Coturnix japonica: one gene and its partner. Each later gene encodes a partner of the first gene's protein in a complex. Links are inferred from orthologs where the notes say so. Each region holds a gene or a part of one and is shown in the gene's direction. Other genes may lie near its edges.

What was found.
Region 2: the proteins of ATP8B1 (region 1) and TMEM30A are in contact, whole or in part, in a cryo-EM structure (PDB 7VGI), measured with the Homo sapiens proteins. The link is inferred for Coturnix japonica from reciprocal best matches to the Homo sapiens genes ATP8B1 and TMEM30A. Residues at the interface, in NP_001361314.1 of Homo sapiens: Thr138, His359, Trp362, Glu363, Val366, Ser369, Ser370, Trp371, Tyr372, Leu373, Tyr374, Asp375, Gly376, Arg384, Ile388, Phe418, Asn420, Trp421, Asp422, Leu423, Tyr426, Lys430, Asp431, Thr432, Pro433, His939, Trp942, Arg946, Tyr968, Phe971; in NP_060717.1 of Homo sapiens: Lys24, Thr25, Arg26, Arg27, Pro28, Asn30, Phe33, Lys34, Gln35, Gln36, Arg37, Leu38, Pro39, Ala40, Trp41, Gln42, Pro43, Ile44, Leu45, Thr46, Ala47, Val50, Phe54, Ile57, Phe61, Ile64, Ile68, Ile75, Phe119, Tyr121.

What each region holds. Positions count from the first base shown.
Region 1 is NC_029547.1:290,764-294,585, forward strand, and holds part of ATP8B1 (phospholipid-transporting ATPase IC), read left to right. Parts: intron 1-795; coding exon 796-1,004; intron 1,005-1,840; coding exon 1,841-1,884; intron 1,885-2,014; coding exon 2,015-2,171; intron 2,172-3,314; coding exon 3,315-3,503; intron 3,504-3,822. UniProt on the Homo sapiens protein: Catalytic component of a P4-ATPase flippase complex which catalyzes the hydrolysis of ATP coupled to the transport of phospholipids, in particular phosphatidylcholines (PC), from the outer to the inner leaflet of the plasma membrane.
Region 2 is NC_029518.1:73,686,844-73,690,665, forward strand, and holds part of TMEM30A (cell cycle control protein 50A), read left to right. Parts: intron 1-444; coding exon 445-552; intron 553-1,056; coding exon 1,057-1,144; intron 1,145-1,547; coding exon 1,548-1,691; intron 1,692-2,766; coding exon 2,767-2,973; intron 2,974-3,822. UniProt on the Homo sapiens protein: Accessory component of a P4-ATPase flippase complex which catalyzes the hydrolysis of ATP coupled to the transport of aminophospholipids from the outer to the inner leaflet of various membranes and ensures the maintenance of asymmetric distribution of phospholipids.

The sequences.
Region 1 (3,822 bases):
CAACATCTGTGATCCCATTAGCATCAGAATTTTCACTGGGTTAACAAAAAGTTGAAAACTGATTTTAAGACTATCAAAGCAATTTCAGTTTACAGTGGCTTTCACATCAGCCTCAAAGCTCCTCAGTTTCACAGCTTAAATCCTTCATAACATAAGGTAGGTCTAAATAAAAAGATTATGGTACCACATTGAACATGAATACAACAGAAAGGAGGTGCTTTTTAATAATAGTAATAAAAATCAAATTCTATCTATTAATCGGGAATTCTATAATGATTTCGTGTTAGTTGCTTCTAACAAATAGCATGTTAGTATTTGTATTAATTCAGAATCACTAGAATTTAGGTATGCGATGCTTTGATATCAGAGTTTAAATGCATTAATAATTTTACCCTCGACAAGCATATCTAGAACATACTTAAAGTCCTTCAGCTTCCTACCTCCACTTCTCCGAATGGTACTTAAAACGCTATTCCTCTGTGGGATTTCTGTTAGCAGTAGGAGCAGCAGCATTGATATTTTTTGGCTTGATCAGGCCATTGGGGCTTTTCTGCAGTCATTGCAGTGTTGAAGTTGAGCTGTGTGGTCTGGCGTTGGTTTGAGTGCCCTGTCTGGGGGTAATGGCAATCTGTAATGAACTGTAAAAATGGGACTGTTTTGGCTTAAGCTCCTGTGTTAAACAGGCAATCCTGAGTCCCTGAATGTACAGACAGAGCCCTCCGGATCTGGTAAAATGTCATTATTTGGAATATAAGTTGCAACGGGCAGTAACAACTTCTGGTTTATTTCATTTAGTGTCGAAGTGATTCGTTTGGGCCAAAGTTATTTTATAAACTGGGATCTGCAAATGTATTACCCACTGAATGACACACCAGCTCAGGCCCGCACCACTACGCTCAACGAGGAGCTGGGGCAGATCCAGTACATCTTCTCCGACAAGACAGGAACTCTCACACAGAACATCATGACATTTAAAAAATGCTGCATAAATGGCCAAAGATACGGTAAGTCTGTGCCATGACGTTGCAACCCCACAGGGAAAACCAGGTTTTGATTTCCATAGCAAGTGCCAAAGTGTTGCAGTACCAAAGGCAGGGTTTGCTGCTGGCAGTAGCACTGGGGACTCCTGTAAGTGTGAGAATGAGTAGGAACTTGAATGCTGGTTTGAAGTCAGGTGCATGGTAGTCTTCTAGTTTCAAATGAACTTCCACAGCATAGCCCTGTAAAGCTCCAACTGTAGTTTTCCCCTTGTTTTCATATTTTCGAAGGGAAAACAGTGGAGTGCAGTCTTCCAGTAGAAAAGTCAGAAATGAGCAATTTACAGACTTATTTCGTTTGTTAGAAATGCTCTGGCACAAAATTAATCCAAGGAACAACTAAGAAAGTGTGGTAAGGGCAGTAGCTGTTCATTTTAATGTTAGTTCCTCCTGTATACAATCTGGTCTGGATTTCAGTGTTTGGAATAACACAGTGATGTTCTCCCTAACAGAACCACTGTTTGTCAATGCAAACAACAGTGTGCTTCTTAAACATCTGACCTCTGGGTTAAAAACAAGGATTTCTGACAATGAAAGCTCTGTTAAAACTACGTGGGTTTTTTTATGAAAATTCCACCAGATGCCTTTTTTCTAATTTTTTTTGTATCACTGGCATAGGCAGGTACACCCACCAGGATAAAAGGTACTGAGGTTGTGAATGAATCCTACTTTTTTTCTTTAATTGGAGATATTCTAGTACAATAGACGTAGCTACTCGATACTTCTGACCTTGTGAATGAGATGTAACAACCTTTTTTTTTTCCTGTCCTGTGTCTTGGAACGGATGGTGCTTTGCATTGCAGGAGACTGCCGCGATGGAGCAGGCCAGCTCCCAAGCCACCCAGAGGTAGGTTGGTGTGAGCCAGCATCACAGCCCCTGCAGTTTGCAGGAGCACTGCCATGCTAAGGTATGGGGAGGGGCAGGTAGGCTCAAAAATTTGCACGTGGGGTAACGCTTATTCTTCTTTTTCTAATAGCAAGTGGATTTCAGCTGGAACATGTATGCAGATGGAAAGTTCTTGTTCTATGATCACTATCTCATAGAGCAAGTAAAGTCTAAAAAAGATCCAGAAATCCAGGAGTTCTTTCTTCTGCTCGCAATTTGCCATACAGTCATGGTGGATGTTTCTGATGGTGAGTATCTTTTTCTCTTGTGCTTCTGGAAACAGTAATTGAAGTCCAGTTGCACAAGAGAACAATCCAAAAGTAGTGTAGATCTCATAAGCAAGGAGAAATAGACTGTTCTTTTAAGTTAAACAGAAGCAAAACCCAGTTATTCTTCAAGACCCAGACCCTGAGCTGGATAAGATCTATCTCTTTGTGGAAGGAAAGCTGTCTTTAGTGATGGTTGCAATTTTGGCAGATGTGCACCTTAAATAACAGCAGATTGAGAAAGGTACTGGAACAGTTTGTATAAACACCTTGTAGTTCCTGTGAACAGTCTTCTTTGTACTCTTTAAATCTCAAAAATAGGAGCCTTAAATAAAATGGAGATGACACTAGCACAATCTATGGTTCCCCATACGCATGTGAAAGTGCAGGCATTTGGAAACTTGTTTTCAGTGTGGAAAGCTGAGTATTTTCCAAATGAAGATTTAATTCATATACTCCTTGAAGTGCAGGCCCGTATGTGTACCCAAATGATGTATATTTGTTCTAAGAATATCAGCAGCAAGTAACAAAAATGAGTAACAGAAAGACTGACAGAAACTAAATATGAATGGAGGTGTGATGAAGAAAATAAGGTTGAACATTTATGAGATGCTCAATATAAGAGGAGAGTAATATTGCTTTACTCCAATCTTAGAGATCTCTCTTTGAAACCATGAGTTTCCCATACATTCCTGGTCTTCCTACTGACCTTTTGAGGGTTGTTTCCATTGTACTGTGTGGTTACCTGTGGACTTATGTTTTGCTTTGGTTTTTGGCACTTCTGTGGAAGTGCTCAAATGACAATACCTGAGAAATTAAGTTATATTTGTTTTGAGATGGAGAAGTTTGTTCTTGCTTTACTACACGGGTGGAAGAGGATCAGTGACTCATCCTGTTTGGGAAGTACCCATTGTAAAAAGAATAGTCGCAGTCCCCCTCCTCTGGTGGCTCTGTCAGCTGCTGCAGCATTGTGTCAGATGCCACTTCAGAAGGGGAAGGAGCACAACACTGAGTGTTTGTCTTTCACTCGCTTTGAAGAATGGGTGTGAGGTTTTCAGCTCTGTGATCCAAGTAATGCTCAGGTGTGCCCTGGCTTTCTTTCCTTCCTACTTGTCAATGATGCAGGTCAGATCAACTACCAGGCAGCCTCCCCAGATGAAGGGGCCTTGGTTACAGCAGCCAGAAACTTTGGCTATGTTTTCCTTTCACGAACACAAAATACCATCACAATAAGTGAAATGGGGACTGAAAGAACTTACGATGTCCTTGCAATCTTGGATTTCAACAGCGACAGAAAGCGAATGTCTGTCATTGGTAAGTTGACTACAGCCAGCCTCTAATTTGCAAGATCTCTTATGGGGAGAGTCACTTGTATATCTTAGGTGAAATGGCTCTGAGACACAAAGTTTTATGATAGATTTTAATCAACGTTAATCTCAGTCACAAAATAAAGGCATTGTAAGTAGGTGCAAATATGTCCTCCCAGCAATCATGGTGCTCAGATGAGGCCTCCACTAAGATGATCCTATATTCCTTTAGTAGAAGCTTGAAGAAATGTGACAAAGATCATTAATTCCCCATTTTCCTAGAACCAAGTTGGTTGTGTGTGCTTTGTAGGAATGAGGTATGCAGG
Region 2 (3,822 bases), on another chromosome or scaffold:
TGCAGTGTTAAGTGGGACACGTGTCTTTTACACATCTGGATTTACTGTCTGTGTCCTAGGTGGGCGTCATATACTTGACATGTAGATAAGCTATTCCTGCACAACTTAAACTGAGTTCAGCAGGAAGCAGCAGCACTAGATGCATTCTTTGAGGCAAATAATGAGGCTTATGTGCTTGGTGTTGGACAAGGTAAGTATTGGGATAGTACTGATGAATATCCTGCTGCTGGTTTATGGCATGTTGATATTGTTTGACTTCAGGATGCCAGCTTTTGTTGGGATAGTATTGTGTGTATTCAGTACAAAGAGAGTCTTTGAGCATCACTACTGTGAGTGTTACTATAAAGTAAATACAATTTAAGAGGTTGGATTTCCAGGTTTCAGTTAACCAGCATGTTTGTGTGTTTTATTGACCTGTTGTGTAAATCAAAACCCTTCTTGTAGAGTAACGTCTTCATGTATTACGGACTTTCTAACTTCTATCAAAACCACCGTCGCTATGTGAAATCTCGAGATGACAGCCAACTCAACGGAGACAACAGCTCATTACTTGTAGGTATTCGAGCTTTGATATTTACAGATACTAGTAGGCAATGAACAGCTGACTTGCATAAGTTATCACAGGGCAGAATAACTAGTTTAATAATAACGTAGCTGTAGAATTTTTGTATTCAACAAACAATAAGGTATTCATATTTTTTATTAAAAATAATAAACGTTCTTTTATTTATTAAATTCTTAATTCTTTTATTTATTAAAAATAAATAACATTCCAGTTAGAACATTTTTTCCCCTCTTTTAACAGTTTCTAAGCACAGTCTTAATTTTACAATGACCATCATGGGATTTTTGACTTTATTCATATTTTATCTAGAATATTTTCCTGCTTGTAAAGAAAAAAATCAATCATATCGATTAGCAATGAATGCTGAAGTATATGTAAATAAACTCACTCCTGAGAATATTTTGTAGTAAGTGTGAGCTGTGTACGTGTGTGAAGTACTGAAGTATAAACTAGCACAGACTGATCTGCCTTTTTTTCTTTCTAACTGTCAGAATCCAAGTAAGGAATGTGAGCCTTACCGCACCAATGAGGATAAACCCATTGCTCCCTGTGGGGCTATTGCCAACAGTATGTTTAATGGTACGGTAACACTTCTGAGTTTAGCACTGAGGTGTTTTTGTGTTGTGTATGCTTTGTACTGATGCTTTATTCTGGGTATTATTGTGGATTGTTTTGTTTTGAATTAACACACCTTAATTGTTTGGAATGTTGAGATTAAAATACCATTAATAACCACCACAGTGAATTTAACCTGATAGCACACAAGGGATTGAAACATCTGTTGTGAGTGGCTGTTATGGCTGTGGAATAAAGATGCTATACATGTATAACGCACTGCTCTGTATGTGTGTGGATTATTACAGAACAGTTCTTGATTGTGGCAATTTGTTTTTCCTGTAGATAATTATTTTACTGCCTATCAGGATCATTCATCTAATAAAAGCCACTCTTATCTGGTCTTCCAATTTGATTTTCCCCATAGATACATTGGAATTGTACCACATCGAAAACGACACAAGGACCGCTATTACTTTGATTAAAAAAGGCATTGCGTGGTGGACAGATAAAAATGTGAAGTTCAGGAATCCTACAGGAGATGGAAAGAATTTAACTGCGCTCTTCCAAGGTAAGAAATGTGTGAAATTTTAAGAACAAAAGATTTCAAACACATTGATTGCCATGGACTTCACCTCAATGGTGACATTGTAGTGAACATGTTAAATATATTGTTCTATGAAGAAGTCCAAGCTAAGGACTTCTCTGCTTTCTGGAAGAGTTGTCTGTTAACAGTGGATGCTGCAAATTTAATGCAGAACTAATATAATTTTTTCTAAATTCACTGTAGTCATTTAACATGTAAAAATAGAACCTGGGCTTATTTCCTGTTTAATCTTTCTGAACTTTCATGAAAGCTCTTTCTGTCAGTTGCTTGGCATCAGATTAGTTTTGCCTTAGCAACTAATCCAATTTGTTAAGATGGTGAAAAGATTCTTGGCTTAAGTGATATTTCAATTACTTGTTGCCGTTTGGGATCTTGAAATATCAAATCAAATTCTGATATATATATATGTGTGTGTGTGTGTGTATATATATATATGTATATATATAATAGCTCTTGATAACTTTTTATGCCTTGAATACTGAGAAAATCCTCGTTAAGTGCAGTGCTATAATACGTGGTTTTAACTTCAGAAGAAATCCTGTGATTATTTAACCAAACTGTGTGAAATTTTCTTTTTTAATGTTTCTACTGGTAGATCTTACAGTGCTTTTTAAAATCTGATTATTTGTGATCAGATTAACTGATTTTTCTCAGTTATAAGGTTAAATGTAGTTAAGTACAGCCTGGTAAGTCGGAGTTTCTTTGACAAAGTCTAAAAGCAGTTTTCCTTCTGGGCTTTTGGGTCTGTGTGTATATGTAAGATAGAAAATAGCTCTAGGTTTAGCCTGATATGTCTTGCTTGCTTAGTCACAGCCAAGTGACCTTACCAAAGTGATGTTACCCTTGCAAAGGCAGATGCCATACTCTAATGTTCCTGAGCAGTTCAGTAATCTTGCAGTAGCAATGAGCCAGTCTGGCTCTTCGTACTGCTTAGGATTCACTGCATGTTTTTTATGATACTAGAATGAATTTTGGTGATCCAGTGCTTCATTTAGTCCTGTGTTTGAAATGCTTTATTGTTGTTTTTGTTTAATCTTAGGTACAACAAAACCAGTCAACTGGCCCAAACCAGTGTATATGCTGGACTCTGAGCCTGACAACAATGGCTTTATCAATGAAGACTTTATCGTGTGGATGCGTACTGCTGCTCTGCCAACATTTCGTAAGCTGTATCGTCTCATTGAGAGGAAGAGTAACTTACAGCCTACCTTACAGGCTGGAAAATATTCTTTGGATATCACGTACAGTATCCTTTGAAAATGCCCTTAAAAACTCCTTAGAACACTGTCTGGGTTACATGGGTGGACTTTTAAGGAAGGTTAAATCAAATGAGACTTTATAATTGCTGTCTTCTGCATATAGTTTATAGAACTAACTTATGTTTGTTCTGTTAAGATCATGAAATTCAGTTCCGTAGCTTCATAAAGGGAAATGACTGGGTCATCTTGACTTCAGAATGGCCACCTGAAGCATGGAGTTGTCTGAGCTAGTTATGCTAAAGTAAGAAGTAGCTCTAATTAAAAACCAAAATCCATTGTTCTAGGAAAGAGAGAAAGCTTTCTTTGATGCATAGGAGGGATGTGACAGTCTGCAAAAACCATGTTCCTGTCTCATGCAATCACTCAGACTTGTGGTATGTCTGTGGCTATACCATATAGAAAGTCACAAAGAATTTACTATATTATAGAAGTTGACTTTATGGTGAAGGTTTTGCCAAGGTGACTTTCGTAGAATCATAGAGTCACTCAGGTTGGGAAGGACCTTAAAGATCATCAAGTCCAACCGCAGCCTAACCATGCTACCCTAACTAACAGCCCTCTGCTAAGTCATGACTCTGAGCACCACATCCAAATGGTTCTGAAACACATCCAGGGATGGTGACTCAACCCACCTCCCTGGGGAGCCTATTTCAGCGCTTAACAGCCCTTTCATTAAAGAAGTTTTCCCTGATATCCAGCCTAAACTTATCTGGTGCAACTTGAGGCCATTTCCCCTCATCCTGTCACCAGGGAGATCAAGTATCTTTTTGAGAATATTATTCTTTAGAAATGTAGGATTTTACCTCTTGTGTTTCATTTTTAACTTAAAGCACATC